Caenorhabditis elegans: one gene and its partners. The protein of the gene in region 3 interacts with the protein of the main gene of each other region in a pairwise test. Each region holds a gene or a part of one and is shown on either strand. Other genes may lie near its edges.

The links.
Region 1: the proteins of vps-39 (region 3) and lgg-2 interact in a two-hybrid assay, tested with the Caenorhabditis elegans proteins (one study listed by BioGRID).
Region 2: the proteins of vps-39 (region 3) and pas-3 interact in a two-hybrid assay, tested with the Caenorhabditis elegans proteins (one study listed by BioGRID).

What each region holds. Positions count from the first base shown.
Region 1 is NC_003282.8:10,933,264-10,937,439, forward strand, and holds lgg-2 (Protein lgg-2), read right to left. Parts: upstream 2,641-4,176; 5' UTR 2,599-2,640; coding exon 2,493-2,598; intron 1,875-2,492; coding exon 1,706-1,874; intron 1,655-1,705; coding exon 1,501-1,654; 3' UTR 933-1,500; downstream 1-932. Other genes in the region: lsm-7 (U6 snRNA-associated Sm-like protein LSm7), read left to right, coding at 264-269, 324-417, 545-653, 742-847. UniProt on the Caenorhabditis elegans protein: Ubiquitin-like modifier involved in the formation of autophagosomal vacuoles (autophagosomes). When lipidated mediates tethering between adjacent membranes and stimulates membrane fusion. Less effective at promoting membrane fusion than lgg-1.
Region 2 is NC_003279.8:5,104,260-5,111,673, forward strand, and holds pas-3 (Proteasome subunit alpha type-4), read right to left. Parts: upstream 1,790-7,414; 5' UTR 1,787-1,789; coding exon 1,414-1,786; intron 1,368-1,413; coding exon 988-1,367; 3' UTR 851-987; downstream 1-850. Other genes in the region: chp-1 (Cysteine and histidine-rich domain-containing protein 1), read right to left, coding at 1-205, 252-532, 577-652; use-1 (Vesicle transport protein USE1), read left to right, coding at 2,034-2,129, 2,181-2,236, 2,287-2,362, 2,622-2,709, 2,754-2,888, 2,937-3,112, 3,162-3,299; aap-1 (SH2 domain-containing protein), read left to right, coding at 3,585-3,757, 3,805-4,064, 4,246-4,511, 4,739-5,170, 5,251-5,688; Y110A7A.21 (MARVEL domain-containing protein), read right to left, coding at 5,880-6,020, 6,282-6,386, 6,431-6,598, 6,731-6,809, 6,861-6,874; Y110A7A.15 (uncharacterized protein), read right to left, coding at 7,117-7,374.
Region 3 is NC_003283.11:14,031,350-14,041,984, forward strand, and holds vps-39 (Vacuolar protein sorting-associated protein 39 homolog), read right to left. Parts: upstream 7,024-10,635; 5' UTR 7,001-7,023; coding exon 6,928-7,000; intron 6,881-6,927; coding exon 6,815-6,880; intron 6,765-6,814; coding exon 6,556-6,764; intron 6,508-6,555; coding exon 6,365-6,507; intron 6,321-6,364; coding exon 6,028-6,320; intron 5,976-6,027; coding exon 5,607-5,975; intron 5,563-5,606; coding exon 5,273-5,562; intron 5,228-5,272; coding exon 4,696-5,227; intron 4,649-4,695; coding exon 4,056-4,648; intron 3,457-4,055; coding exon 3,244-3,456; 3' UTR 2,974-3,243; downstream 1-2,973. Other genes in the region: ins-10 (INSulin related), read left to right, coding at 2,659-2,842, 2,899-2,972. UniProt on the Caenorhabditis elegans protein: Plays a role in vesicle-mediated protein trafficking to lysosomal compartments including the endocytic membrane transport and autophagic pathways.

The DNA of each region.
Region 1 (4,176 bases), on a different chromosome or scaffold from region 3:
TTTCCGGTGCGCTGTGTGTTCGAAAAGTGCGTCAGCACCGTTGTTGAGCTAATATTTTTCGAATTTATTTTTTCTTTTCTTTATTTTATTTTCTTCTCTATATACGTTTGTAATTTTAAATCATAATTTATCAATTAAAAATACCGTTTAAAAAAATTCTAAATCAATAAGATTTTGTCAGCTTAATTTATTTCATTCGTAATCGATAATTTCATTCAAAATTTCGGAATTATTTCAGACTCACCACAACTCAACACAGAGAAATGTCGGTATGTTTTAAAAATACAATGAATAAGTTATTTATAATTGTTGTATTATTTTAGAAAGACGAAGGAAAACGAAAGAAGGAGTCTGTCGTTGATCTCACCAGATTTCTCGACAAAGAGATTCGCGTCAAGTTCCAAGGAGGACGTGAAGGTTGGTTTTTTTTTTGCACAATGATGTGCACTAGCAATAAGATTCCGTCATTAAACTATTTAAACAATATGAAAGCGTCCAACATACACAAGCTGTACTTCACTCCATAAAAATGTATAAATTTCAGCAAGTGGCGTGCTTCGAGGATTCGATCAGTTGCTCAATATGGTTCTTGATGACTGCCGCGAGTATCTCCGTGATCCACAAAATCCTTCGGTCGTCGGTGATGAGACAAGGTAATTGATAGATTTCCAAAAATCGATTTAAAGCTTGGATTTCAAATTAAATCTAGATTTTCGATTTTATCTTATCTTTTATCTTAAGACAACTGGGTCTTATTGTGGCTCGCGGAACAGCAATTACAGTAGTTAGCCCAGCAGATGGACTCGAGCAAATCGCCAATCCATTCGCAACCCAGGAAGAAGAATAATCGTTGATATCATCATCATCTCTTATTATTATTATATATGTATGTGATCTCCTTGTGAATGAACATTCTCCAGATAAAAACGACGAAAAAGTTGTTATTACATACAAAACATTTGATACATTGAATTTGGAAAAGTAACGATGGAACAAGATGTAATAATTTTGAATTGAATCCGTCTAGGCAGTCAGAAAGTCCATAGCGGTAAATTTCAATGTTCAGGGCAGTAAGGAAAATAGTCCCTATGGGCTTTAGAGACTAGCCAAGTACACAGAATCGTAAACGGTTTAAATTTTGTTGAAAGAGGATCAGTTGTGAAAAGAAGACATGAAGAAATTCAAGAAACGGGCTGGAAAATGCGGAGAAAGAGTTATGAGGGAACACATAAAGACTACACGAAAACGTAAGCGAATTTGGGTTTCTTTTTTTTCGTTTGTAAAACAAATTTCAGCTGGAAGTTTTGAGGTGGGGAATTGCGAGGGGCGAAATTAGCAAAGGCAACTAGAAAAATGGTTGGCGCCTGAGTATGATGGGTTTTCAGGTATTTACATTTAAAAATACAACATTTTACAGTGAGGATTGCATTGGGCAATCAGTGGTGTTGGTGGAAATTTAAAAATTGATTAGAATTGTGATGGAAAACGGCTCTTGATGTGTTATCCAAATGCTGGTTGAGACGTGTAAACCATATACACAAAGCCATCTGGATCACGCTCTTGACTGTACAAATTGGACATGCTCATAGAATTTGACACCATTGAGCGTTCATTGACGAGCAGGAAGAATGCTTGTTGTGGATGAAGTTGGAGGCTGAAAAGCAAACGGATGATTTTGAAAAAACAACTCAGTTGAATAGCTCACCGTCGTCTAACAATTGACATGAGCTCGGCAACGGTTATATGCTCGGGTACTAGGAATTTGCAGCGATCCATAAGTGGTAAACTGCGTTCTCCATCAAATCTTTCGATAATTACCGGAACCTTGTTCGGTTGTTGGCTGCGGATTTCTTCCACATCTTTCTGACGCTCATCTGAAATCGAATAGGTTAAAAAGGTTTTCTTTCGAAAATTTGAAAATAAAAAAGTTGTTCCTCAGTTCTGGATTTCTCTTTTCCACTCGTAAAATTCATATTTCTATTTAAAGATTGGCGTACGTTCAGTTTTGGTTGTTATCTTGAATGGTGGGCAATATTTTGAACTCTAGAATATCAATATTGATCCAAATTTTCCTATAATCCTATTTCCCTTGCACCTGCCCTATTGATCTTTGTTTCTCAGGTCCATCTATCTCTTTCTTTCATACAACGAAGAGCACCCAATTAATACGCAATGTTCCATGGGTGCTGCTCCACTGACATAGTCACTCATTCACACAAGATCAGCTGATTTTCACATGTCTCACTTGCATATTGTCTCTTGTTTCCTCATGCTCTCTCGCTGAAACGCATGACGCGGGGTGTCTGTCCTCTGCGTCTCTGACCTTTTACAATGGACGGGTGAAGGAAAAAAAAGTGGGAATGATTGGGAATGAATTGGTTGGGATGAAAACCAGATGTTTGATGTTAAAGTAAAATTAAAGTGAGACTTGAAGCTCTATTTTTATTTTGATGACAATTGTTTGATTAGTAAATGAATTTTAAAAAACTTACGGAATGGCCTTCTTTCCTTGAACGATGGAACGATTCCGGAAATGTAAGATCCTCCCCGATTTCCGCTCATCGCTGTTTGTGTGTAACTTTGAAGCGTGGCTAGCATAAACGCTTCTTCACTTTTTCGTGCTGAGACCCGATTTTCGATCTGCAAACTTGAAAAATGGTAACTGGTATTTGAAAAGTTGAGAAAACTGATTTTAGAAGAGAAATTAGAGTGTGAGATGCTAAAGGACACTGTATGTTTTTGTGAGAATTTTTTTATCAAGAAGCGAAAAGACAGGTGAAAGGGAATGGGACAGAGGGAAAAATCGAGACAGAGGCAGTAGGCAGCACACACGCTCTTTTGCTGTATGTCTCTTTGTCCTCTGTGTCTCTTCATTGATGCTACTCTCTTTTCTCACACCACAAGATCGACTGAGCGTCGAGGACACATGACCGCGAGACGGAGAGACGATGAGAAGAGAAGAATCATGTGATGAAGGAATAGATGGGGAAAAGAAAGAATAGAGTTAGAGAAGATGAGAGTGTGTATTATGACCCTTCTCCCAGCTAATACAGAAGTTCGAAGCAGTGTCAGACAGATGAAATGATAGCGAAATTTGAAACGATGAGTGGCAACGAATTAAATAAATATGACAGCGAGACTTGTTGGCGACACTAAGAAAGTTATAGGAGAAAACGTTTTAATTGAATACTTCCTAGAAAACTTCTCAACTAATGTTCTAGTGTGAAAATGCTTGGTTTTATGAATGAAAATTTCTAATATTAAAATGGGCCGTTTAAATTAACGGAAAACTAAAGATTTTATCTATACCAGCCAACTCTTTTATATCGGTCTACGTAAAAAAAGTGCTTGTACTTTGAAAATAGTGGCAGGGAGAGATAAAGGGCAGGGGAACCAGATGATCTCTAGAACTTCCAGTCTGAATCTACTACTCCCAATCAGAACAACTGACGTTTTTTTCTGCAAACTTTTTTCTCGGAACTTTAGATCTTTGACGCGATTTTCGAAAAAGGGAGAAGTGATGAAATATGATCAAGATTTCACAGCAAAAATTGGCAATCTGCGATATTTTTTTGACATTTTAAGGGTTTCCTTAGATTTTCCGTTGTTGAAAATGCGGGTATCTAAATAATTTCGAAAGAAGTTTTGAGATGAGGACGAAACTATGGAAAGAGCAAAACAATAAGTGATGAGGGGAAAGAAAGAAAAGTGAAAAATCGATGTACGAGTAAACAGACTCTCATGACTAGTGAACTCAATTATGTTTACGTCTCAAAATCGATATGTTACTGCGCACGCCGTGTGCATTTGTCTGCGTCTCGTTTATTTTCTTTTCTTTAATAGCATTTTCCGCGTACGAACTTCAAAGATGAAGAAATTTCTTGTGAAATCGAGTGGAATGTCGATATTTATATGGTTAATATTTAGATAAAAGATTATTCAGTTTTTTAAATTAGGTTTTTCGGATATAACTTGAAAAAAAAGAAGGAAAACATGCCAAAATCGAAAAAAAATGCATTTGGTGTTCAAACCATTAATCAGTACTACCGTAACTCAAAGGCGCATTAACGTTTTTTTACTCTGGTCTCGAAGCGAAAGGTGGAATCATGCTCAAAATTAATTTGCAGATCTTTTTTCTTGTTTTCGCTTCAAATGCATGAATAAGTTCTGGAAAAT
Region 2 (7,414 bases), on a different chromosome or scaffold from region 3:
ACGACCAATACTTCATTCCTTCGTGGAAAATGGCAGCTCCAGGGTGATGCTGACAGTTTTCCTTGTTTTTCGATCCATCGAATTCAGTAGAACATCCATTGTTTCGACATGGGGCGCCAATTTGAATATCCGCACTTTGAGCAGCTTCAGATATTTCTTTCAGCTTTTTCTCAATAGCTGCGGTTGCTCCAGGCGTCACTTCAACCTGCAATACGTGTTTGTTATAAAAAATTTAATTTAAAAATACAAACATTCAAATTTTGCTCAATTCTCTTTGTCGCATCCTTGCTATCCAATTTTCCAGATTTATTGAGCCCTTTCCAAACAATAACATCTTCTTCTTTCTCTGGTCGAATTTCCTTTACCGCGGCAACTTTTACAATATCGACTGGTTTTTCATTGCTGTGTTTTCCACGCGTACATCCTTTATAATTCATCCATGTACCGAAATCAGTACTTTTCTTATCACAACATGTCCAAATCTTGTATGCATCATGGAAATACGGACCCCCAGGGTGATATGTACAAGCTTCTGAAAAATTAAACTGATTTTTTTTATTTTCCAATTAATCTTACCGTTGTCATTCTCCTTGGGATCGAAAAGGAGACCGCATCCTTTATGATAGCACTGCAGTTTACTTTCGTCAACCATCTAAAAATGCAAAAGCGATTTTTTTTCTGAAGATTTCGGCTTAATAATCCAGTTTTCCCCCAAATGCTCGAGAAAATTCGAGACTCCGCCCATTGCAATGTTGCGGCACACTCCTTCTTTTTTCCAGCACTCTCGCTTGACCAAATAATCAAAGATTTGCACGGACAACAACAAGGTGAATTAAAGAAAGCAAAATTTAAAAATACAAATATTTAATTTTCACCGACGTTTGAGATAGGAATATGGGTGATAAGAAATAAAACCAGACAATAAATTAAACGGGTGGGAGGATGGTTTACAATACAGTCTTGAAAGATTATTTCAAAGGCAATAGATTACTTCTTCTCAGCAGTCTCAGCTTCCTTTTCTTTCTTCTCGTGCTCAGCAATCAGAGCATCGACTTCCTTGGTGGTGAGCTCTTCGAGCACAGTCTTTCCATCACGACGAGTCAAAACAGCCATCTCAACTTTCTCGGAAGCGAGCTTCACATCCAAAGTCTTCCAGAGAACCTTGATAGCCAACTGCTTTGCTTCTTCAAGATTTGGGGATTTGTACTCCTGTTTCAACAAGGTTACGGCAGCCTGGTGGTTGCTTCCGATGCAGGTTGCCTTCCATCCAGTGTAGTTTCCGGAAGGATCAGATTGGTAAAGTTGATATCCGTAGTGCTTATCCCATCCGATATAGAGAAGTGACACTCCGAACGGTCTCTTTCCTCCTGAAAATCATATTAATAGAAATCAAGAGAGAAGTTATCAACAAACCAATCTGCGTGTATCTCTGCTTTTCATTGCAAAGATTCTGGACGAGCTGCTCAACTGGCATTTCCTCTCCGTAACTGTTACGATAGCTGGCAGCCCACCATCTCAAGTGGTTGATGAGGATGTTCGCGTCGGCGGTGATACCAGCGACAGTGCACGAGATGTTGTCCGAAAGACGGTAGACCTTTTCAGTCATGACAGAATCATCCAGCAACTTGTGAACGTTCTTTCTCTCAGCAGCAACGACGATTCCTTCCGATGAGAGAATGCCGAGGCAAGTTCCAGCATGGCTGATAGCCTCCATAGCATATTCGACTTGATACAGTCTTCCCTCCGGAGAGAAGATGGTCGTTCTACTATCGTAACGACGGGCCATTCTCTGAAAATATAAAGATAATCTAGACAAATATGATTTTAAAATATAAACGGCAGAAACCTATAGAAAAATTACATAAAACAAGAAGAATCTCTCAGTCCTCGACAAAAAGGATGACTTGAAAATTTTTTCGCGCATGAGCGCATTTGCATTTTTGTATTTCTCGGCCGTGGCCGAACTTATTTGTTTTCAAGTTGTCAACGTTTATTTTTATTTTTTTATCTAATTTTGTCAAAACATCAATGAAATGGCGTATATTTCTGAAAATGAGCTGAAATTTCTACGACTTCTCGAGCGAACAAAGCGCTTGACAAAAGAGGATATGTCAGCAAACGTTTGGAAAGCAAGTATCACATTTTAAGTTCTGTTTAATTAATTATTTTTCTTATTTCAGGTTTCTGCAGCTACAAAGATTCTCAATAAAATGATTTATACACTTCAAAACGATGAGTGAGTTTTTCAAAATACATTTTTTAATATTTATAGTTTTACTTTTCCAGAACCACAAATGATATTCTCCACGAGTACCGACAGGAAGTCTTGCAACTGAAATTACTCGCTGAAGCTGAAAGCAAGGTTTGTAGATATTTTAGACAAGCAAATTCGATCTTGTAATTTTGCTTTAAAGATACAAATTTTTACATAATTTCTAAACTTAATTTGAATTTGTTTGATTTGTTTCAATTAAAAATTTAATCCTAAAATATTATGCAAATGTTCCGTAGATTTTATGTCCCTCTTTTCAATTTAGATTTAAGTAAAGAAAACAAGTTGAACAGCTTTAAATATTTTGTGAATTTCGCAACTGTTATGAAATTGTCAGTAAGTTTTCCAGTCGTCAGCCGAGGAGCGCCTGAAAGTGATTGAAAAAATTCCACGTGTATTTCCCGATGTCCAAGTAACTGTTGCAGACTCCAAGAATGGTTTTTGAATTATTCAATATTTCATTTTAATGTTTATATTGCAGATAACGAGGCGGAAAGTTACGATTTTGAAAAAGAATCCGCAGCTGGACTCCGAGCTACTCAACGATCCATCTATCGATCAGATCTTCGGAAGCAGTTGCTTTCATCTAATAAACATAGAGCACAAGACACATCTGGTAAAAATTAGTATCCAATGATTGTTCAAAATTCGTCAAATTTTATAGAAGATCAGGAATTCATGAAAAATGAGCTTGTCGAGGAGGAGCTAGCAAATAGTTTGGCCACTATGGCGAGATCATTCAAAACGATGATGTCGGCTGCTGGAGATGTGATTAAAGAAGATACAGAAAGAGCAATATTAATGGCGAAAGAAGTCGATGATAATAAAACAGCTCTCGGGGTAATTTCTTCACTATATAAACTTCAAATAATAGTCTTAAAATTTCCAGATTCAAAGTGAGCGAGTTGAGCGTCACGCCTACAAATGTGGTTATGACTGTTTCAAGGTCATGCTCATTGTTCTGATTTTTATGAGCTTCGTATCAATGGTTCTTATGATGAAAATTTTCAAAAAAGCGAGCACTTAATAGTCGGGACGAATTGCTAGTATTTATGGGTGTAAATATTTCAAATAAAATTATTTAATTATTTGCATTCTTCGAATTTTTTTTCTCGTTGATATTTCCATTGGTCTACAGACCATGTTATACATACTTTTTTTGTTGGTTTTTTTTGGTGTTTTCACAAATTTCAATGCTTTGCTTTTTGGTCTCGGCTTGGTCTTGTGCCAGATTTAGTCTACTTCGGCAAAAACACCACAGATTCTTCTCCTCCGTTAATTATATATATATATATATATATAAGGATTCAGAATGAGCACAACACCTGGAACTCCTCATGGAGTCACTCATAGTCTTATGGAACAAGGATGGTACTGGGCTGATGCTGATAGATCTGCAGTTTCGAAAGCACTTTCTGATCAACCTGATGGATCATTTATTGTGAGAAATGCTAGTACACCTGGAGATTATACACTTTCTGTGAAGTGGGTTTTTCAAAATTAGTATTCAATATTAATAGTCCTTTTTTCAGATTTGCCGCCCAAGTGAAACTTCTCCGAATCGTTGTTAAAGATGGAAAATGCGGATTCAATACAGATTCATTAACTCACGATTCTGTTGTCAGATTAATTGAATTTCATCGAAATATTTCTCTCAATATTTTCAATGATGCACTTGATGTTCGTCTTTTATATCCAGTTTCTGTTCGTCGTAACTCTCAAAATGGAAAACCATTTTTCAAGAAGGGGCAACTTCAGCAGCGTATGATTCTCAGTGCAAAAAATGATCATGGTAAATTATTTTATAACGCAAACGCTAAATTTAAAAATACTGTAATTTCAAACTTTAATTGCTGCGGAATTTCTCTTGTCGTTTCAAGACCTCGTACCATATTTTTATCGCGAAAGTGGCAAAATTTCGCGTCTGAGTGATTGAAAAAAATAAAAATTAGTAAATTTAATGCTTTTTTTAGATTGGAGAGAACGCTTGGAAATGGAAAATTTGAGAGCAGTACATTTGGCATTTGAGAGAGGAGCCAAGCTATATGATTCAGCTCATCAAGAAATGGAACGAGCTGAAAGTCTCTATCATGCTTTGAATCAATCAGTTCGGGACAATGAGATTAAACTTGGAAAACTGAATAATTTGTTAGAAGCTGAAACAGACGTCGTTACACAAATACAGGGATCGCAGACAACAAGTGAAATGCTCAAAGGAGCATTTGCAAATAATAAGACAGTAAGCGTTTTTTGAAGAAAAAAAACATCCAAAACCAAAAAAAAACAATTCTAAAGCAAAAAAAAGAAGTTCAATTTAAAATTGTTATTTAGCCAAAACTCAATATTTTCAAAGCTGGATTATTAATTTTTGCTCAATTTTTTTCTCGGTTTTTTAAAAATGATTTTAGAGCAAATCCTCAATTTTTAACCATTATAGTTTTGAATTTTATCTTTTTTATTTTGCAGTTTGTGGAAGAAAGTATTCGACGAATAAACACTGAACTGACGTCATCAAAGGATAAGAAAAAGACGCTCTCCGGAATTTTGGATGAAATCGCGATGAAAAGATCCAATTCAAAAACACGACTCTGCAAGCTTATGGAACTTCGTAGTGCAGTCTATGATAAAATGGAACCAGCACTTTGTTCGAGAATGGCTGCAATGCTTGATGCTGGAGCGGAAATGATAAACAGTGAGCCAACGAAAGTCACTCAACTTCTTGTCGATATGGAATTGAAGTGGACACCGGCACAATATTTGATGTGTGGAACTTCTAAGGAAAATGCTGCGAATGCTCTGATTCATGCTCGCTATCGGATCGCTCAACTTGACAAGGCTGTTGGATTGAAAAGAGAGCCACAAGATGGTATTTTCTTGATTCGAGGATCCTCTTCTCATGTTAGTTTATGATTTTATCAGAAGAATAACTTTTCATCCTCATTCACGCTAATTTTTGAATTGAATTGAATATTTTTCAGGGTGATAAGCTCGTATTGAGTGTACTTCACGGAGAACGTGTCTCACATTGTCTAATCGAACAAAACGAAGAAGGATGGGGATTCGAGCACAGCAATGTCTACCTGACAACTATAAGTGACTTCGTTCGCTATTACTCTCACTTCAGTCTTGAAACCCACGCGGATGCTATCAAAACTCCACTTCGTACGCCCGCATTTGACGCTGTCACAAGTGATACTTCAAAACCTCTTCGTAACGGACCCGGACAAGTTTTTACGGCTTTGCCAATATCCAGGAAATATATGGAGAAGGCTCTTCTCACTGATGATCCCACTAAGCCACCTGAATCACCGGAACCAAGACCGGATTCATGGGATTCTCCATCTCCGGATACTCCTTCATCATCTGATTCCCGATTGGTTCATCCAACTACTCTTCCTAAATCCATCCCGGAATAGTTATATATTTAAATCAATTACTTACATATACTCGGTTCAATTACATCCACTTGTCCCCCATCCGATCTGATAGTAAACCCACAGTTCTCTGATCACTTTCTTCTAAGTTACTTACGTTTTATTTGTGTCTTAAATGTATTTATTATCAGTATTTATATGAATTGTCAAATTGTACATTTATTGATATAAATTCAAATCCGTCGGCGGTTCATCCGCGTATTAAATCGCACAACATTCTCCTCCTGTTTAACAGTAATATGACCTTTCGTTTGGTTTTTCATCACATGTAACAGACTGAGAAGAAACGAGACTGTCACCAAAGCGCAGACAACCTGAAATTGATTTTCTTTCGCGCTCCACGGCAATTTGAAAACGCTCCGCCCCCAAACCATGGGTCTCGTTAGGTATTTGGAGGCGAATCCGTACATTCAAATGTTTTTATTTTCATTTTTGCTTATTTCGCCAAAGTGGCGGAATTAAGTCAAAAAGTTTGAATTTACGGTTTTGCCGACAAATATCTAACGAGACCCATGGTTTGGGGGCGGGCGTTGTCAATTGCCGTGGAGCGCGTTTTCACATTTTGCATAACATACCGTTGCCAGCCACCAGGCCGTATTATTCCATCGAATCGAACTGTACAACATGGTCAGTGTATTGATTGTGAACAAAAATGAGAATGATGAAATGAAGACGCTTTCCTGTAGAAAACTCGAAAAAAATAAATAATTCAATATATTCTTACCCAAAAAACCCATTCATCTGGTTCAGTCTCATTAATATTAAAAACATCGCACAACAAAAATACAGATGATCCGATTATTGCGAAGACGCATGTCAAAAGAGCAGCATATGTTGGAGCAAACTGTGAGCCAACAAGTCCAATGAGCACAAGGGATACGAAGCTTCCAAACTAGAATTCCATGCTAATTTTAAGTTTTTGGTTTCTTGCACAAAACATATATATATATATATTAAAAATACGTTCATTACTAAACTAAAACTATTCAACAACAACAGATAAAAAGTACTTGAAATAACTCACAATTTGAAAAATCTGTAGAGCAGAGGAATACTTTGCAAATTTCCAGACCTCAAATTTAGGTTTTGGAAATGCAGATTTTCTGAAAGTTATGGATAAAAAACATTAAAAGAATCGAAACTCAAATGTTCACCTCGATGGATGCATGGGGAAAGAGTGTCTAGAAATGAGAGTTGTTGACTCAATAAAAACTGATAAGAAATTATGAGTCAATATTATATTGATTTAATAGGGAGAGCTTATTATAGGGGGGAGGTAGTTTATGAATGTTGAAGAATTATTTGAATAAAAAAATTGAACAGAAAGAGAACAATTATAAAAAAAACGTCGGGTAGAAAGTGAAATGAAATGCTGGTTCAAACGAGAACATCCAGAAAAATCGACAAAACTCAAAATTGTGAACGTTTGAATTCACCTCGACGAGCATTTGCTTGATAAAATCCTTGCGTGGGACGTCTTTCAGCTTTCGGTGGCAACCATTTCTGAATTTCGTCGATCGACTCCATCTTCACCCAGTGAAGCTTCTGTTCCGCGTTCACATCGAGGATAATTACTTGGCCTTTACTGTTTACATGGAATGAAGACATATAGGGAAGAGGAAAATCACTGGAGATACGATGCAGGAAACTGTAGTCAGTGTCGAACAGCTGAAACATTTAAAAATATTCTAAATTTAAATTTTTTATT
Region 3 (10,635 bases):
AGTGATGATGGGTGAAATATTTCGCAGCAATATTCTAATGTGGGTCTAATGTAGGTATTAAACAGTTTGAAATAAAAAGCTGAATTTGTAGATCTGAATGAAGCGAGAATCTTACGACAGTTGAAAACTGCGTTATTGACTATCTTATTGATGTGAGTCTGGAACTTGAGAGAGTTGTCTACAATGAGACCTAAGTCTCTCGTGCATTTTGACTCCATTATAACCTGCTCATTAATCTAGTATAAAGAGGAGGACAGTAATTGAGTCAGAACATTTCTTAATGATGAGGAAGTTTATATTATCTATTTTGATGGTAACTCAACAAGTTATGTTGACCATATAGGACAGTAGGCTGAATTCTGTAACCACCCACCAATCAATAAATATTTTCAGAGTATCTTCATACAATTTGGCTTGTGGATTTGAATCGTCTTCGAACATGATGTCTGTTAGATTCAAGACAAATTATGATCTTACCGATAAAGGATGGTTGGCGACGTGGAAGGCAATGAAGAATATGCCAGTTATAAGTCAAAGTGGATCAAATGGGGCAATGATTTCACCCAATTATCCATTAACCTATGATTCATACGATGAACAAGTCTATCAAATAAGTGTTGCCTGGGGAATGCAGGTCAATTATCAATTGATGTATTCCGAACGCAGAACAAAAATGATTATTTAAATATTTATAACAGCACTACACAGTCGAATAGTACTCTTGTAACCACGTAAGTTTTTACTTTTTAATAAATGACGGGTTGGTACGACCATCTGAAGACGTGCCTGTCTACTATAAAAGTTTCAATTTTCCTCATTAATAATATTTCTAAATGTGTTTTTAAAAAACTATAGATACAACAACGACGTGACTTACATTTCTGAACTAATTGAACTTTTCCAAAATTGTTGACTAAAAGAATTGCTATCAATGTTTGAAAATAGTTTAATCACTTTTTATTGCTCCCTCTCGAGTTTATCGACCCTTCACCATTTTTAAATTTTGAAAATATTAGACTATGAATACAATAGCACGGAGCAAAACCAAACTTCACAATTTTCTCGTTAAAAATAGTTTAAATATACCAATCAATATTCCACTCATTCAGATTATCCGGACAATCGGTAGCTCCATTCAACTACATTTCTCCAAGAAGCTACATGTCAATGAAATTTGTATCTGATGGATCACTTCAATACACTGGATGGCATGCATTTTGGAGCATTTGCTAGTTGAAATTCCCTAACATTAAATTCGATTCAATTTGATCGAAATACGACTAGTGATCAGTTACATTTGTAGTGAAAATGTTTTACAGAATTTTTCATTGACGCACACAGTGTGCATACAATAAATATCAATCAAAACAAATTTGAATCGTTTGAAAAACTTTGAGTAATACATTTTCTTTCTTCGAGTTTACTAAAATTTTAGGTCAGCTTCTCATTACCAGAAGCTAGGGTATTTATACTTTTTCTGACAACATCTACAATATTTGTCCTACCATAATTCAAAACTCTCAAAAGTATTATGACGTCATCTATTTTCATGTACAAAACTTGTAAATGTATATGTTTTTCTGTTTTAACAACTTCTACGTCTTCTCGTTCGTCCAGAAGTTTCTCCGATTTCTGATCTTGGAATGTTTTTGTCGTCGATTTATGTCGTAAAGAGCATCGTCATCAAATATCCAATTACTAATAATATGCCCTTTTCTTTCGGATCATGAACCAAAATTGGAGAAAAAAAATGTAGTAGGGGGTGTGTGACTATCATCTGTTTATGTCGGTGTCAAATTTCGTTCATTTTTTCATGTTTTAAGTTTTTGATTCCGTGACAAATCCGACAAATTCCGAACAAAAAATCAAACTTCCAAACGTGGAAAATAAGGAACTGATCATATTTCAGACTGGGAAACTTTGTTCCATCAAATTGGTCAGAGAGAGATCCAATTACCAAAAACGTGGAAAGGAACTTTCTATGAACTTTGGCATAAGATTATGATTTTCTGAAATAGAAAAAAATGTTGTGTCAATTTGGAAAGCCGAAATGTTGTCTTTACGATTTTTATTGTTTAATTTTGTTTTAATTTTCGAAAGTCACAATTTTTGAAAATTTGGCAATTTTCCAAAAATTCCGCTGAATTCTTTGAAAAATCTTTGCAGCAAATTGTCGTCTTGGGTCCTCGCACGAACAAAACTTCTCACCTACCGTAACCCTGCTGCTTTTGCATCCTGGGTACGGTAGTTTGAAAAAACTTTGTTCGTGTCAGGACCTTGTTTCGTAATATGAAGACTCTTATCAAAAATAAAATTTGATAACCTTATTACTAAATTATGAAACTCAAGTTTCAGAAAAAATTTCCAATTTTTAAACATAAATTTCAAAAAAAAATTCCTGATCTGTATGTCTGTTAGTCTAGATGTCGGGAATTCTTCTTTAAAAGTATATCCCCATTTCCTTATCCTCCAGACAACTTCTTCTCAAGTTTCTCCACCCTCTGAATCTCGTGATTCCATTAAAACTCGGCGCCGCCCATTTCCACTTTTCCAGAATGCTTCCAAAATCAGAGCTCCACCCTCGGTTTGTCCTTGGATTTAATACATTTTATTTGCCCGTTCATTTGGACTTTATCACAATTTCCAGCACTTCTAACAATGTCACTGCATTTCTCCACTATTCAAAAAACAATTCTTCTAATCTCATTCTTGCTCCTCGTAACATTGGCTCCCAGAACAAGTGCAGCTTTTCCATTCCAAATTTGTGTCAAAAAAATGGAAAAAATGTGCAGAATCATCAATCCAGAGCAGTGTGCACAAGTAAATAAAATCACTGAGATTGGTAAGTTGTTGAGAAAATAATTTTTTAAAAGTTCCTATTCAAAATGAAATTTTCAGGAGCATTGACAGACTGTTGCACCGGACTGTGCTCCTGGGAAGAAATCCGGATCTCCTGCTGCTCCGTTTTATAATATATAATTCGTCGTTTTGCCTTTTCATTGAATTATTTTGAATTTTGTAAAATGGAATAAATGGACAGATTTGTATACAAGAGAATGTTACACGTACAATAAAAGTGAGTGCGCTGGAATGAGAAAAAAGTAAAAGGGGACTAGAAGACATGTGATGTGACAAGTTGTTACAAGGATAAAGGCACATAAAATCAGTAAAAAATCTATACAAAAATACGTCTTATAGATACAAAAATTAGTACATTTCAGGTACTAGGTACCGTACTTCCTTTCAATTTCTGTTTCCTCCTTGAGAATCATTATGGCAGTAGAGATGTGCCAATCGACCATCCGGATACCGGACAAATGCGCTTACAGCGATTTTCTTCTCACAAACAACACATTCACTTGAGAAATTGACGATGATTTTAGTAGATTGCGCCTTGTTTTTGCGCTCCAGCTTCTTTGACATTGCACATTGGGACACAGATTTTTCCATTTTTCGCTGAAAATTTTCTAGATATAAAGCTTAAAGATTGGAGGTTTTGTAAACAATTTTATCTACGTAGAGTATACGCAACAGTTTGATCATTGAAAGTGTGTTTAATTCTGTAAACATCCTAAATTCAACCGGAAATTCGATCAGAGTCCAAGATATTGCTTATTGTAATTTCACAAAATTTGACATGCCTGCTTAAAGGCGCATAGTCTTTTTCAAATGGGTCTCTACGCGCAAAAAAGTTTAATGTAGTCTTTTTTTTTCGGCTGCTCTCTCGCCGATTTCCTTTTTTAAAAAGATAAATTATATGTTTACGTTTCATTTTCTGATAAAAAATTATTAAAATCAATTTTTAAAGTGAAAAATATGTTTTCCAATTTAAAATGCGCATTTTTTCTGTTTGTAGGCCTTAAAAAAATATTAAGAAAAAATTATGAAAAAGCTCAGGGAAAATAAAAGATAACGCAGCTGCAAAAAAGACTACCATAAACTTTATTGCGCGCCAAGACCCATCTGAATACATTCGTGCGCTTTCAAGAAGGCATGTCAAAACCTTGGACAATTATAATAGAAAAGAAAATAATGAACGCATCTCTGAAACTTACAGTGCTCGCTTGTCGTCCGGTAGTTTGAATCACCGCGTTAATTGCCGAGAACACGACTCTGAGCGGAGTGGTGGCTGGAAGCATATTCAATGCTCCAACTGTATCGATTTTATCTGCATGTTTTGCCAGAATCTTGATTGCTGTATTGACATCTGGTTGATACGATGATGTAGAGTTGACTAACGTTGATGCTTCAGAAACATCATCACGATATGATCCGAATGGAGTCGAATCGGCGTGATAAGGAATCGAGTGCAGTTGTTGCTGATTTGGATGTACCAGAGTTCGGAAGAGCATCAGATACACCTGTGAATTGGTCTCATCGTGTGCATTGTAGTAGAGTCTACAGTACTCCTCTGCTGCAGGCACATTCTTCAGTGTATTCACATATATAGCAAGCGCCTGCTCGTGTTGTTTCAGTCGTCCAAGAATCAGAGCTCTTTCCTCGTAAAATGCATGTGGTGCTAGTTGAAGAAGCACTGTTTGTGGACTGTATGAATGGGAAACTTCGAGAAATTTCAAAAGTCGTTTTCGGTAGAGGCCCAGCTCGCCATCCTCGTCTCCCGCGCGAGTGATATTCTCATCTGAAAATGCTTTTAGAGGTTGTATTTTTTTTTTGTTGTGCTATGAATCAACATACCGTCTGGGAAAGCGTGTACATAATCCTTAAACAAAGTGTTGACTCGTGCCACATAGAATTCCAAAAGTGTCTCGTGAAAATATGAAGAAGGTTCTTCCCATTTGAAAATCACGTGCTCCAAGTACGGAATCAGTGCATCCGGGCATTCGGATTTCAAAAATTCCACGACGGCTTTTCGATTTAAATTTCTAGCCATTTCTGTTTCGTCACTAGTGAATATTTGAACTCCGGCTTCCAAATTTTTGGCTAGTACCCATTTTGCGTACTTTAGAATTAGTGGCAAATTGCTATTTCCAAGACTTTGAAGATATTCGACAATTTGTTGAATAGCATCATCGAAAAATGGATCAGCATCCGGGCGGCTAGATTGATCGATAAACAAATCGAGAGCCATTTCATGCTTTTTGCGGGTTTCGTAAAGAATGAATAAAGATCGGAGACGTCCTTCAGATTCGAGGATCTTCTTTGCATCCTCAAATGTGCACGCGTTGCTTTGAAGACGAATTAGAGAATCCACAAGCATTGGTTTCGTCTGAAATTTTAATTTGTTTTAATTTTCCATAATTATTCGAAAAACCTTAATATAACACTTTAGAAGTGTTGTATCTACAACTCTCAATGTCAACAAGAGCTTTGCCTTCTCATCTTCATCAGTTTTCTTTGCCGCTCCCGATGAGTACAAACGATTGTATAATTCAATATGCTTCGCGTGTTCAGTTCGAATTTCAGATAGATAACTACCGAGAGCCAAAAGAGCACGCATTCTGTCGTTAGCAGGCATATCACTGACAACTCCGGTCATTGATTGAAATCCATCTGGAAGAAGCTCGGGAAACATTCGAATAATTGAGAGCACTTCTGAAATATCTCAAAAAAAATTTTAATTTTCTTATGTGAAATGAAGCACTAACCGGTTTTAATTTCTCCAAATAATGCGAATGACTCGTCAAACTTCTTCTGATTGAATAAATTCAATGCAGCCTTCTTTTTAATTTCTAATTTCTGTTCTTCTGCAAATAAATTCGAATTTTCAGCCAATTGAATTGCTAGCTCGAAATGACGTTCCTGTATCAAATGAGACACGTTTTTTCGAAGATTTTGTGAAGTATCAAGAATCCAAATATCGGAAAGAGCAGCGACGAACACTTGTCCACGAGCACCACTGCAGAGTGTCATAGCCTTCGGGAGGGACATTGTCTGTACAAGTTGACCATCGAAAATTGAACGAACTTCGACGCGGCCTTTTGAGAGCATTCCAACCAAGTAAGGTGAATCGTATACTGGAAATTTATAGGTAACTAATTAAATAATTTAATTCCACAATAAAGTTACCGATTTGCATGGGAACTTCGCTGAACTTGTACTCGTCACTTAATACATTTGCCGGACGTTGTCCCCAAATATCAGTGGTTACAACTATTTCATTCCTCACAAATGCAACTCTTCTTCGATCGATCATTGGCACAATGCCAGGCTGACAGTTGAAATTTAAAAGACGAGTTACAAAACCATTCCATCCTTCCGGAGTTGAACCTTCACTTGGCGAAGTGGTTGTCTTATCTTTTTGCATTGTCATAGAAAAATACTCGTTTCGAACAGAAAAGAATACCATTTCACCAACGCATCTGTAATTTATTCTATCTTTAATTTGTTTCATAAACTTTTGTACCTTATAGATGTTGGAGTATCCAAGAAAACTGGATTATAATCCAATGCAACTTCTATAAATTCTTTGTGGCCATCTTTCTCTCCCCATTTGAATAAATATAACTTCTTTCGTGACGAAACAATTACGTACAGGTCTCCAGATGTCTGAAAACAAAAATATTGAATAGAAAATTCGGAAAGTTTCCAATGAACCTTGGGTGAAAATCTTGCAAAAGTCTGAACAGGCTTCACTTTGTGAATTAATGTTTCAACTTTATACTCTGGATCGCTGAGCTTGTGAGCCATCAATTGACCGTCGGACACGCACAAAAGGAGATCTTCACGTTGGCAAACTTTCAGTTCCATTACTGCTTTCTTGTGAAAGCTTTTGCAGATATTTGTGAGCTCGAATCCACGACGATCTGTAATTTATCAATATTTAGAAATAGATTTCTTGACGATTAAATATTACTAGCTGAAATTGTGTATGCATAGAGATGTCCTGCTCTTCCACCGGCTAACAAGGTTTGATTCGATTCTGAAAGCAATCATGATTGTAAATTCCAGTGATTTGATATTGAAAACCTTGAAATGCAAGACATGTTACTTCTACGGGTAATCGGAGAGCTACTTCGCAAGGCGTGTATGCATCGTACATTTTGCTTTGGTGGGTCGAAGTACCTGAAATGAAATTAAAACTGAAAATTATGACAGTAATATAGAGAAGAATAAATTTTCGCAAATAAATAATGCCGAATAATCAAAACAATTATTTGTGTCTCGAAAAAACAGACTTCAAATTATCGTTCCCGAAGAGGGGGTACGCTTTCGTAAGGGGATTTTTTCGTAAGGAACGCTTTCAGTAGGGCAATGTGCGGCGCGCCTTTTCGCAAGCCCGCCGCACAGTCCTTCGCAATCGATTCGAAATCGATTGAAACCCGTTTTTGTCATCGAAAATTCTGAAAATATCCGTATTTAGCTCGAATAAAACTAATTAATTTCCATTAAAAATCCGTTTTTAATTGAATTCCGTTCGAAATTTCCTGTTGGAAAAATAAATAAATAAATACGAAGAAGCGTGCGGCGCATTGCAAAAAGCCGTGCGGCGCATTGCGAAGGACTGTGCGGCGGGCTTGCGAAAAGGCGCGCCGCACATTGCCCTACTGAAAGCGTTCCTTACGAAAAAATCCCCTTACGAAAACGTACCCCCTCTTCCCGAAGTGCTCGACGAGTAAACGCGCTCCATTGAACACTTTTTTCGCGCGCATTCAAATTTAGTTTTTTCATGCCTCCAATATTTTTGTATGGAAAATTGATCGTTTCGCACTGAATTTGTAAATTTTGGAAGAAAATTTTTAACCAAAAATGCTGAAAAAAAAAATTAAAATTAAATTCTTGAAAAAAAATAAATTTTTTTCACATTCCAAAAATCACAGATAAGACTACAAAATATCATGAGGGCCACTCCTCGGAAAAAGCTGGGAAAAAAGACAATATTCAAGTCGACTTGGAAACATTCGTAGCCTGTTTTTTTTCAGGAATCGAAAATCAGCAGAACTCTACACATCATCAGTGCATTGAGAAGACAATATAATACGTTTATAAATTGGAAAATTTATTATTAATATTATTCACTTTATTATAATTAAACTTAAAAAAAATAAATATTAACAAAGTTATTAAGAGAGCGGACGCATTTTGTGCAGTGGAGGTGGGTCGCCCTTTTCTGCAAAATCCAGGAGTTCGAGACGAAGAAGTGGATGAAGAAGGCGGTGGAGGTGGACTATCTGAAAATTTTCCAATTTAAAAACCTAGGGGAGACTGAATTTTCGGACTTTTACATAAATCTGACTGACCAAGAGAAAAAAATCCGATTTTTGTAGGAAATCCAGGAGTTCGAGATGAAGAAGTTGATGAAGATGTTGGTGGTGATGAAATATCTGAAATGTTTTAATTTAAAAACCTAGGGAAGGCTGACTTTTCGGATTTTTACATAAATCTGACTGACCAAGAAAAAAAAATAGGGGTTTTGGCAGATCCAGGAGCTGGAGACGAAGAAGCTGATGAAGATGGTGGACGTGGTGGACGATCTGAAATGTTTCAATTTAAAAACCTAGGAAAGACTGAATTTTCGGAATTATACATCAATTAAACTGACATAGAGAAAAAATCCGATTTTTGTAGAAAATCCCGTCGTTCCAGGCGAAGAAGTGGATGAAGGTGTTGGTGGTGATGGAATATCTGAAATGTTTCAATTTAAAAACCTAGGAAAGACTGACTTTTCGGAATTATACATCAATTAAACTGACATAGAGAAAAAATCCGATTTTTGTAGAAAATCCCGTCGTTCCAGGCGAAGAAGTGGATGAAGGTATTGGTGGTGATGGAATATCTGAAATGTTTCAATTTAAAAACCTAGGAAAGACTGACTTTTCGGAATTATACATCAATTAAACTGACATAGAGAAAAAATCCGATTTTTGTAGAAAATCCCGTCGTTCCAGGCGAAGAAGTGGATGAAGGTGTTGGTGGTGATGGAATATCTGAAATGCCCCTCTACTGAACCGTCAATTCTTTCAAACAGCAATGTCTACAATCAGAAGCCAGCGAATCGTGATCTATATTCCTCGGTGATGAAGAAGAACCCTGTGCTGAAGAAAGTTGTCGAATCGATTAATCTGGTATCTACTGCTCATTCCTTTGAGAAGAAATCGAATCTAGCTGTTCTGGAAAACCTGCCCGATGCGAAAAACCCGGATCAAGTTAGTTCCGATTTTAATCTGGTTAAATCTTTCTCCCTTGAATTCTCTCTCCCTGTTCCCACTGAAGTTTTTAGAGTTGCTACCAAAAATTCCAAAATCATTTCCCGGCCAACTAAAGTTCGTTTCAATTCTGAATCCCTTCGCGATGAATTTCTTACCGGTTTCTATAAAAATTGGCGCAACTTTTCCTCTATTCCGCAATCTCCTCGACCGATCCGTGCGCGTAGGGACTTGACTCCCCTCGAGCTTGTCGCGCTTCGTGAACTCCGTAAGGAGGCCTACGAAGCGAACCAGGCTGCGGGCTGCATTGCGCACGTTATCCGGGATCTTGAAATTGTGGACCTGATCTATCCTCGTCCTTTTCCGATGAACCCAATTTCAATCCCTCTCGCCGCATAGGGAGACGGCCGCCTGACACTGAATGATTTAACGCCTCTTTCAAATGACATCCCAACACAACAAACATCACAATTAAATACAAAACTTAAACATAACTCAAAGGCGGCTCTCGTCTGTGTTTCAAAGCCCAAGCTGGTTAATTGCATGTAGGCTAATGCTCGTTCCATTGCATCGCTTGAAAAACTTGAATTTGTCCATAAGTTCGTAGCCTCTAATAGTTTAGACATCTTGTTTGTTACCGAAACATTTCTAAGTAATGCTTTTACTGATTTCTCATGCTCTTCACCTCACTATACCTGCATAAGATCTGATCGGCTTGAGTGCCATCCAAAAAATGCGGCGGAGGTACTGCTGTGTTTTTTCATAAAAAATGGGCTCTTACGCCTGTCTCAATTGCACCTTCCTTTTATCTCTCGCATTTTTGTCAAATTCTGGCATTAGACCATAAGCAATCCAAAACTAGATTTATACTGATATACCGCCCCCATCCACTACCGCAAGTAGAACCGCTGAGCTCTTTAAAAATCTAAACCAGCTTCTCGACTGCCCCTCCTATACTTATGTCCTCCTCGGTGATTTCAATTTTGCAAACACCAAGTGGAATTCAAATTTTCTTCCCACGGGCTCTGAGTATTTCTATAATTGGATGAAATTTCATGATCTGGCACAAATGGTAAATTTTCCGACTCGGTTTTCCAAATTAAACAGTGGCACGTTTCTTGATCTCATATTTACAAATAATTCCGGTGTTTTACAAAATTTAAAACCGGGTACTCCATTTATAAACTCAGATCATATTTCCATTTTCTTCTCCTTATCTCTCCCCCAGCCCACTCCTGCTCATTCTGCCCCTCCCAAGTCTTTTATGAATTTCAGAAAATGTGATTTTTTCAACCTCAATGGATACATGGTGTCATACAATTGGCCTAAACAGCTATCATTCTTTGCTCCACCTGATTCTAAGCTTAATCATTTTCTCAACATTTTTAATGAGCTTATCTCTGATTTCACTCCCCAATATCCAACATTAAGAGTTCAAAGTCCAAAAGTTACAGGTAGGAAATTATACAGAAAACTTCGTAAGCATCACCCAGACACTGAATCCTCAGTTTTGAAAAAGAGAGTTAAATCA